2 linked regions of the Lonchura striata genome follow. The main gene of each other region encodes a partner of the protein of the gene in region 2 in a complex. Links are inferred from orthologs where the notes say so. Each region holds a gene or a part of one and is shown on either strand. Other genes may lie near its edges. The genes, in order: CTSA and GLB1.

Region 1 (3,903 bases), on a different chromosome or scaffold from region 2:
TTGCCCAGGTCATGTGTGATGAGATAATCACCCTCATATCTGTAGCCATAATGAGTATGAGGACAGACTGAAAACCCTGGAGAACAAGGGCTAAGGGCTCTCCTGAGGGGAGTCCTCAGCAGCAGCCACACAACCATCCAAGTGTCCCAGAGGGACACTTACCCAGCCCAGCTCACCAGGTCCCTCTGTGTAGTGCAAAGCAATCTGGTGCTAATAGAACTATTTTCCCTGGGGCTACTCTCACCTCATGCTCCCTGGGACACCTCCATCACAAGGGGCATAGAGGTTGTAGATATTGAGGCCAGACTCCTCTACAATCTGAATCATTTCCCCCATCTGCAAGGAAGGGTTTGGGACTCAGCAGGACCCTTGTGGACCTGTGGGCCCAGGCACGTTCTGCTCGGCGCAGGTATAGGGGCTCCGGCTCCCTCACCTTGAGTGTGCAGTTCAGGTTGGAGTTGTCATGGAAGTTGCACTTCCCCTCGGAGCAGCAAAAGGCCTGCAGGTCTTTCCACAGCCTGCAGGCAGAGACCAGGACCACTTGGACCAGGTGGCAACACTGACATGACAGCTGCCCTGCAGCTCTCTGCCCAGTGGCCACAAGGCACAGAGCTTGGCCATGTGTCCTCCTTACCCCACAAATGCACCCACGGGAGCTACCTGGGACAAGGAGCCACAGCCCAGATGCTGACCCAGGGCAGGCTATGTGTGCCCTTGTCTCAACACCACCAACCCAGACAGCCCCAGCCTCAGCTGTGCACCCATCCTGCTTGCACAGGGAAGGCACATCCAGCATTCCCTCTGCTCTTACTCTGTCCCCAGCAGCCCGTGGTAATAGGCAAAGTAAACCAGGGAGTTGTCATTGATCTCATAAGATGAGAGGCCGTTTCCCACAGCGATTCCCTGCGAGGCAAGAAGAAAACAACCCTGTTGTGTTCCAGCTCCCCGCAGGGCAGTCACAGCAGAGCAGCCGCAGGCAGGAAGCAGATGTGGAACTGTTTACTCTGCGGAGGGAACAGGGAGGGTTGGGGGTGCCTGAGGACACTCCCCTGGCAGCAGGGACAGACACGTCCACCAGCAGCTGCTGCCAGAACCCCAGGAAGAGATAAAAGGCTGCAGGGCCAGGCGTGCCCTACATCCCGGCTGGTCCCACCCTGGCTGTGCCAAGCCCTCTGCTCCCCGACTGGGCAGAGCCAAGCTGCCCACCTTCAGGTTGAGGCTGGGGTCCTGCATCACCCACTCTGCCAGTGTGGGAATGTAGACCCCTCCATAGCTCTCCCCTGTGAGGAAGAGATCATTCTTGGAGTACTCGGGAAAGAGCCGGAGGAAGTCCTTCAGTGCCAGGTAGTTGTTGTGAGCAACCTGCAGGGAGAAGGTGGCATGGTCAGGTGGTGAGGCTGAACCCCATGGCCAGGAGTGGGCAGGCAGGGGAGCAGGGCTCTCCCAGTCACTCGCCTCCGTGTCATTTGTGCCATACTTCTTGTCATCGGAGTATGAGAAGCCGACACCAGCAGGAGACTCCAGGTAGAGAATGTTGGCAATCTGCAAGGACAGCAGAGGAGCCAGCAATCAGGGGAGACCCTCTGCCTCAGTGGGGCCAAGGACTGCTAGCCCCACCCATGGCAGCGCCCACAGGAGTGTGGCCCGCCCCAGGGCTGCACTGGGGTGGCCACATTCCTGTGCTGCTCAACAGCAGACTCAGGAGGAGGGTGTGTTGGGCAGGAGGGGAGCAGCAGTCAGGTCAATGGAGAGAGCAGGAGGAACTGGCTCACAGCCACCCTATCTTAAAGCCACAAAGGGAAGCAGTGCCTGTACCTTGTTCCATGCGTACTCATTGTACTTCAGTGTGACCCCATCAGGCTGGATCTGAGGAAGAAGATGGTGACTGATGGGCAAAGCAGGGCAGGACACAGAGGGATGGCTCGTGCCACGCAGCCGGTCATCCCCTGAGCCCTTGAGCCACAGGATAGCAGTGACTACTAACCAGGAAGGGGCCATGCTCCTTGAGAAAGCCCTCCATGGAGCTGCAGCCAGGGCCCCCGTTCAGCCACAGGACCAGGGGGCTGCTCTGGGGATTGCTCTGGGCCTCCACGAACCTGTGGACGTGTAGCTGTGAGTGCCCAGTGCCAGCCGATGCCCCCCCCATCGCCAGGCGCAGTCCCACGTACCAGTAGTGCAGGTATTTGCCCGGCCCGGCGCAGAGGTAGCCCGAGAAGTGGCGGAAGGAGGGCTGCTTTGACAGCCCGGGCAGGTAGGTCACCTCATGGTCCGGGGGGGCGGCCCGGCCCAACCCCAGCAGCAGCAGCGACGACAGCAACACTGGCCCCATCTGCGGTGGGCGGAAGGGACGGTCAGGGTGCTGTCAGCCAGGAACGGCCGCGGCAGCGCCCCGCGAGCGCCCCGGCCCGGCTGCTCCGGCAGGCCCCGCACTCGGGGCTGACCCCCGGCCCGGCCGGCTCCCCTGGCGCCGGTCCTGGCCCCTCCGTCCCGTCCCCCGGTCCCCTCCCGGCCCCCCGGTCCCGCTGACCGCGGCCGCTCCCGGCGCGGCGCTCGCAGGCGGCGGTCACGGCGGGCACATGACACGCGCCCATATGACCTGCGGTGCTCACGTGAGCGGGGCGGGGCCCGGCGGCGGCCAATCAGCGCCCCGGGGGCGGCCGGCCCCGCCCCCGGCCCCGCCCGCGCACGTGGGAGCGGCCCCGGGACCGGGACCGGGACACCGCCGGGGGGGGCAACGACAGAGACCCCGCACCCAAATGGGGGCAGCCGGGCGTGCGGTGCTCCGGTGGGCACCACAGCTGGGTGCCACCCAGCAGCGCTGGGTAAAGCCGGGCATCGCCAGGCCCTGCCAGTCAGCACCGTGTGATGGCCACTGGCCGCTGCTGGCTATAGCTGGTACCACTGGGCACCAGCGGGCACTGCCTGCTGCTGCTGGACAGCATGGGCACATCCAGGCACCCCAGGTGGCAGCGCTAGACAGTCCAGTGTGGAATGTCTGTGGGTCTGGTTTGGGCCCGGGTGTGCCCAGCAGCCACAGGGCCCCCCAACCTCCCCCATAGAACTAGGACCCCCCTGGAGCCCTCTGGTTGTCCCTCCCAGCCGGGCTGTCACCACCTCACAGCAGCTGTGACAGGGACAGTTAAAAATAGCTCCGGCAGCAATGGCTGCCCGGTGCAGGCTTGCTGCACGCTTCCACCACATCCACGGCGCCAACATCCGCCTGGATGCCTCACACACGCAAGCCACACGGGTGGAGAGCTTCGCCAACGGGCTCTGCTTCAGCCAGGAGCCTCTGGCACCCGGGCAGATCTTCCTGGTGGAGATTGAGGAGAAGGAGCTGGGCTGGTGCGGGCACTTGCGTGTGGGACTGACAGCCCACGATCCCCAGAGCCTGGAGGTAGTGCCCGAGTACTCGCTGCCGGACCTGGTGAACCTGGGGGACACCTGGGTGTTTGCCATCACCCGGAACCACAACCGTGTGGTGGTGGAGGGGGAGGAGGTGCAGGCGCGGGGGCGGCCCTGGGAGCCCTTCCTGCTGATCGAGCGGGTGCGGATCCCCCGTGACACGCTGGTGGGGCGCAGCCGGCCCGGCCGCTACAGCCACATCCTGGATGACCTGTACAAGATGAACGTGCTGCCCGCGACTGCCCGGCGCAGCCGCATCGGGGTGCTGTACGCCCCACAGCCCGATGGCACCGCCGACATGCACATCGTCATCAACGGCGAGGACATGGGGCCGAGCGCCAGGGGCCTGCCCACCACCCGCCCGCTCTACGCCGTCATTGACGTCTTTGCTTCCACCAAGAGTGTCCGGGTGATCCCGGTGGATTATGGCTGTAGGTACCTGTGCCCTTCCCTGCGGCACGTGCTGCGTGGGCCAGGAGTGGGGGAGCTCTGCTGGGG
Region 2 (3,903 bases):
TCTTGAGTGATGATTTGTGGCTTTCTTGGCCACAGCAATAATGAATCAAGTTTAAAATCTGCTGACAGGAGAACTGCCAGCAAAACTTCAACTCTGGATATGAAGTGAGCAAAATTCAGGCTGCTCTGGGAACTAGTTAGTGAGGTTCCCTGGGAAAATGCTTCTTTCTGCCTTTTTGCCCAGCCAAGGTGGCAGAGGCTGCGAATGTTCTGGCATTCCTCTGGGAAGCTGGGGCAAGTCTTTGGCTTTGGACCGGCTGGAGTGTGAGTGGTGCTGCAGATGACGGTCTGACCACTGGAGGTAAAGGCCAGAAGCAGCTTTCTGTCCTGGCAGCTATTGCATGGGAGCAAACTTTGGCGGTGTGCTCAGCGCTGGTGACTGTCTCTTGATTTCAGTGCAGGGCTCCCCGAAGTGCTTTAACATGGGAAGGAGACCACCTAGACCCAGTGCTTCCCGTCAGGATGATGGGCTGTCTAGGCGAGGTAAAGGTCAGCAAGGCCTTTCCATCTTGGAAACTTATGTGTGGGAGAAGTTCTTGCATGGATTTATCATCGGCGGTTGCATCCCAAAGTCCCCCGGAGCTCGCGGCGCTGCACGTCAGCGCTTTAACACGGGAAGCAGCGCCCCGGGCTCACAGCCCCGGGCGCACGGCGGGCTGCGGGGGGCGACCCGGGAGGGGAGGGCGGGAGGAAGCCGGGCTCGGAGGGGTGGGGCGGCGCTGCCTGGTGGCGGCGGGCAGGGAGGAGGAGGAGGAGGAGGAGGAGGAGGAGGGATGCCGTGCTGCGCCGGCCGTTTCCCGGCGGAGCCGTCAGCTGACGCCGCCGTTTCCTGGTGCCGCCCGCCATGCTGCGGCTGCTGCTCCCGCTGGCCGCCCTGGCCGCGCTCCTCGGGGCGGCGGTGAGTGCCCGCCTCGCCTCCCCCAGCCGGGGACAGCGGGGCGGCTCTGAGGGCCGGGGGAGGGCTGGCAGGGGCCTCCTGCCGCTGCCGGAGGAAGGCGCTTCGCCTCAGTCCTTTTCTCAGCCGTGAGCGATGCAGGGCGGCGCACGGGCGCGGGTGCCGGGCTGGTGGCTGCGCCGAGGGGTCGGTCGCGGAGCCGCGGCAGGGAGGGCTCCTGCCCTTCTCCCGAGCAGGCCGGCCGCTCCCGGCCGCTCCCGGCCGCTGGGGCCGAGGAAGGGCTGGCGGTGCCGCCCGGCGCCGGGGCTCGGGGCTGCCGGCCCCGGCGCTGCCTGCGCGCCCGGGCTTCGCTGGGGCCTCGCTGGGAGAAACCGGTACCGACCCGCTGGGAGATCCGTGGGATAAACGTGCTGATCCTGTGGTGTGCGAGAGGAGGGAAAGGGGCTTTACCTGTTCTCCACAGATTCTGCTGTAGCAGCCTTGTCCCGCGGGACGCAACACCACAGCCCAAGGACGAATCCTCATGCTCCACAGTTTCCGTGTTTTATGCCTCGAGTTTGAGGCAGAGTGACACTATTACCTTGGTAGATGTTGTGGTTGGATGGGGCACGGGTGGTTAAAGATGTATGAAAAATAGAACATCATGTGAGATCTTATGGAAGGGGAGTTTGGGTTACAGTTTGTGCACTTTGTTAGGGGTGAGGTTGTTCCTGAGCCTTCCAAAATTTTGAAGGTGGCAGGCAAGAACAAGTACTCTTCAAACTTGATAGTATTAGCACTTTTGGAGGATTTAATAGGTTAATTTCAAACAGATAAAGTACTGTAAAAATACATTGTTTCGAGAATTTGCTGCCATGGGAGGTTGTAGAACCAGACAGTACTCAACAGATTTTTAAAAATTGATTTCCCAGATTTAAATATGGCAGGCTCTTAAGCAACATCCAAGACTTTCTAACACCCATTTCCAACAAGAAATGACTGTGAAGGATTTGCCCTCTAAAATCCCTCCTGTAGCAGCTGTGTCAGTTGAAGGAGCACGACGGAGCAGACCACAGACTGTGGCCAAGGTCCTGTCATTTCTTTATACACTGTTTCTTACTGCCGGTGTCCAGACAGAGTATTGCATGGTGCCTAGAAGACCTATGGACTTGAATCAGTAGGGCATTTATTGTGCTCTTATCTTCCTAGCTCTGTGTGTTTTCTGCAGAGACATATGTGCAAAATAGCACTGTTTCTTAAGAGGAGTTTAGTAACAACTGAGAGGGTTTGAGGAGCTGAGGCTGGCAAGTACGATTTTCCTTATCAGCTCACAGTTCCCTGACATAAGCAATAAGGGAATGGGTCTTTTTAAAACTTGGTCTAGTCCTCAAAGTAGATCAGGGTCCTGTCATCACAGATGTGCTAATGTTCTTTTAAACTAGCTTGAGAGGGTATTGCAGCAGATAAGCAACCTGGCAAACTGGGGTTTGCAGACTTCTGGGCTCAGGCTCACTGCTGAGCCCTATAATGCTGCTTTTGTACCCTAGTTCTGAGACATTTTTTGCTATAATGATTGCTTGCTTTCTGTATCTAAGTGTGGATTGAGAGACAGGAAGTGTTTTGAAAATAAGTATGCTATTATGGGACTATTATGTCAGACATGGTCTCTCTTGTATATTATGAAAGACTTACCAAACTTTTTTCATCTATGATTACAATAACGGGTTTCTTCTAAATAGAAATGTGCAACCTGAGCGATAATAGAAACACCATGACTGAGCAAAATACAGAGCAAACCAGGGAATTCTGCTACCATTCAAACATAACTGATGCTTGCTTGTTTGTTTCAAGTCTGTGAACAGTCATGCATTAGATTCTGTACTCCCTTCTAAAGGAGCAGGGTGTGGTATTTTAATCCCTTTTCAACTTGGTTGCATCCTGTTAGACCAGGATATACTAGAACAGGTGTTGAGTCTTGGAAAACTTTACATGTAGTGGAAGTGGGCTGGAAATGAGTAGTGTGAGTTTCACTGATCCTACTGATCTTCAGATCCTAGTAATTTTCAGGGCTTTGGAGAAATCTGATTCACAACAGCAGGCAAGGATCCATCTGCTGATCATCTGCAGTTTCTGGGACCACAGTTGCATTGTTCCAGTGGAGATTTCACTGCTGCTGTAGCATCTGTTAGTAGAACCTCTTGCATTTGGTAAGAATGATGTAGGGTGTTGCCTTCTTTTCAGATGGAGCCAACTGCTTGGCAAGAAGAACAGAAATAATGTATTAAGGTAATATCACAAGCAACTTAGTCCCAGAACATGTACGGGATTTACAAATGCTGTAATGGTTGTTCCCTGGACTCACTGCAACCCTGTTGTGATGTATTGCCATCTACTATTAGGAAGTCTTGATGAGAAAAAAGTGTTTAAAAGAAAAGGGGGTGTGGGGGAGAAATGATCGAGGGAAACAGGGGGCTTGGAAGGGAACTTCAGCATCCAGTCTTTTCTGTTGTCTGATTTACTCCACTTCAGGACATCTCTGTGTTGTTATGACAGTGATTCTGCATGACCCAGCATCTTGTGTAGTATGTAGAGTAACAATCCTTTATTGCAGTCTGGGAAAAAGGGAATGTGTGTAATATTTTAAAGCGGCTCATACTGGTTCCTGGTTGCAGGCTTTGTTGACCCAAGGCATCCCTTCATAACCACATTATTGACTTCTGGAGACTTCTGCAGAACAGAAGGGAGCAGTCAGGAAGCAAAGATGATCTCCTTCAAGCAACTGCCTATTGAAGCAAAGGCTGCAGTGGCTGCAGGAGTGGTTTTCTTCTCCATGATGCTATCACGGAGTTACCTGGCGGAAAAGCTTGATTCCAGGACGCGGCGTTTGCTTCTAAGGCTGCAAATGGCACTGTTTGCTAATACACTCATGTTGATGGGATCTCTTCATGTTTGGAGGAGCACAGTCACCACGTTCACTAGGTCTTCAGCTGCCAGCTCCTTCTGTTTCATGCTGTGGAAAATAGCTGTGTT

The links.
Region 1: the proteins of GLB1 (region 2) and CTSA are in contact, whole or in part, in a cryo-EM structure (PDB 7KDV), measured with the Mus musculus proteins. The link is inferred for Lonchura striata from reciprocal best matches to the Homo sapiens genes GLB1 and CTSA. Residues at the interface, in NP_033882.1 of Mus musculus: Tyr198, Asp199, Arg202, His206, Leu229, Thr233, Leu234, Gln235, Asp236, Leu237, Lys258, Phe259, Glu260; in NP_001033581.1 of Mus musculus: Glu29, Asp31, Ala37, Lys38, Gln39, Pro40, Ser41, Phe42, Arg43, Tyr107.

The regions. Positions count from the first base shown.
Region 1 is NC_134619.1:8,202,056-8,205,958, reverse strand, and holds the start of CTSA (lysosomal protective protein), read right to left. Parts: upstream 2,598-3,903; 5' UTR 2,528-2,597; intron 2,330-2,527; coding exon 2,169-2,329; intron 2,097-2,168; coding exon 1,985-2,096; intron 1,867-1,984; coding exon 1,816-1,866; intron 1,543-1,815; coding exon 1,456-1,542; intron 1,363-1,455; coding exon 1,207-1,362; intron 904-1,206; coding exon 812-903; intron 519-811; coding exon 434-518; intron 337-433; coding exon 245-336; intron 40-244; coding exon 1-39. Other genes in the region: NEURL2 (neuralized-like protein 2), read left to right, coding at 3,161-3,836. UniProt on the Homo sapiens protein: Protective protein appears to be essential for both the activity of beta-galactosidase and neuraminidase, it associates with these enzymes and exerts a protective function necessary for their stability and activity.
Region 2 is NC_134603.1:113,036,165-113,040,067, reverse strand, and holds the start of GLB1 (beta-galactosidase), read left to right. Parts: upstream 1-771; 5' UTR 772-843; coding exon 844-897; intron 898-3,545; exon of another isoform or gene 3,546-3,634; coding exon of another isoform or gene 3,635-3,903. Other genes in the region: TMPPE (transmembrane protein with metallophosphoesterase domain), read left to right, coding at 3,635-3,903.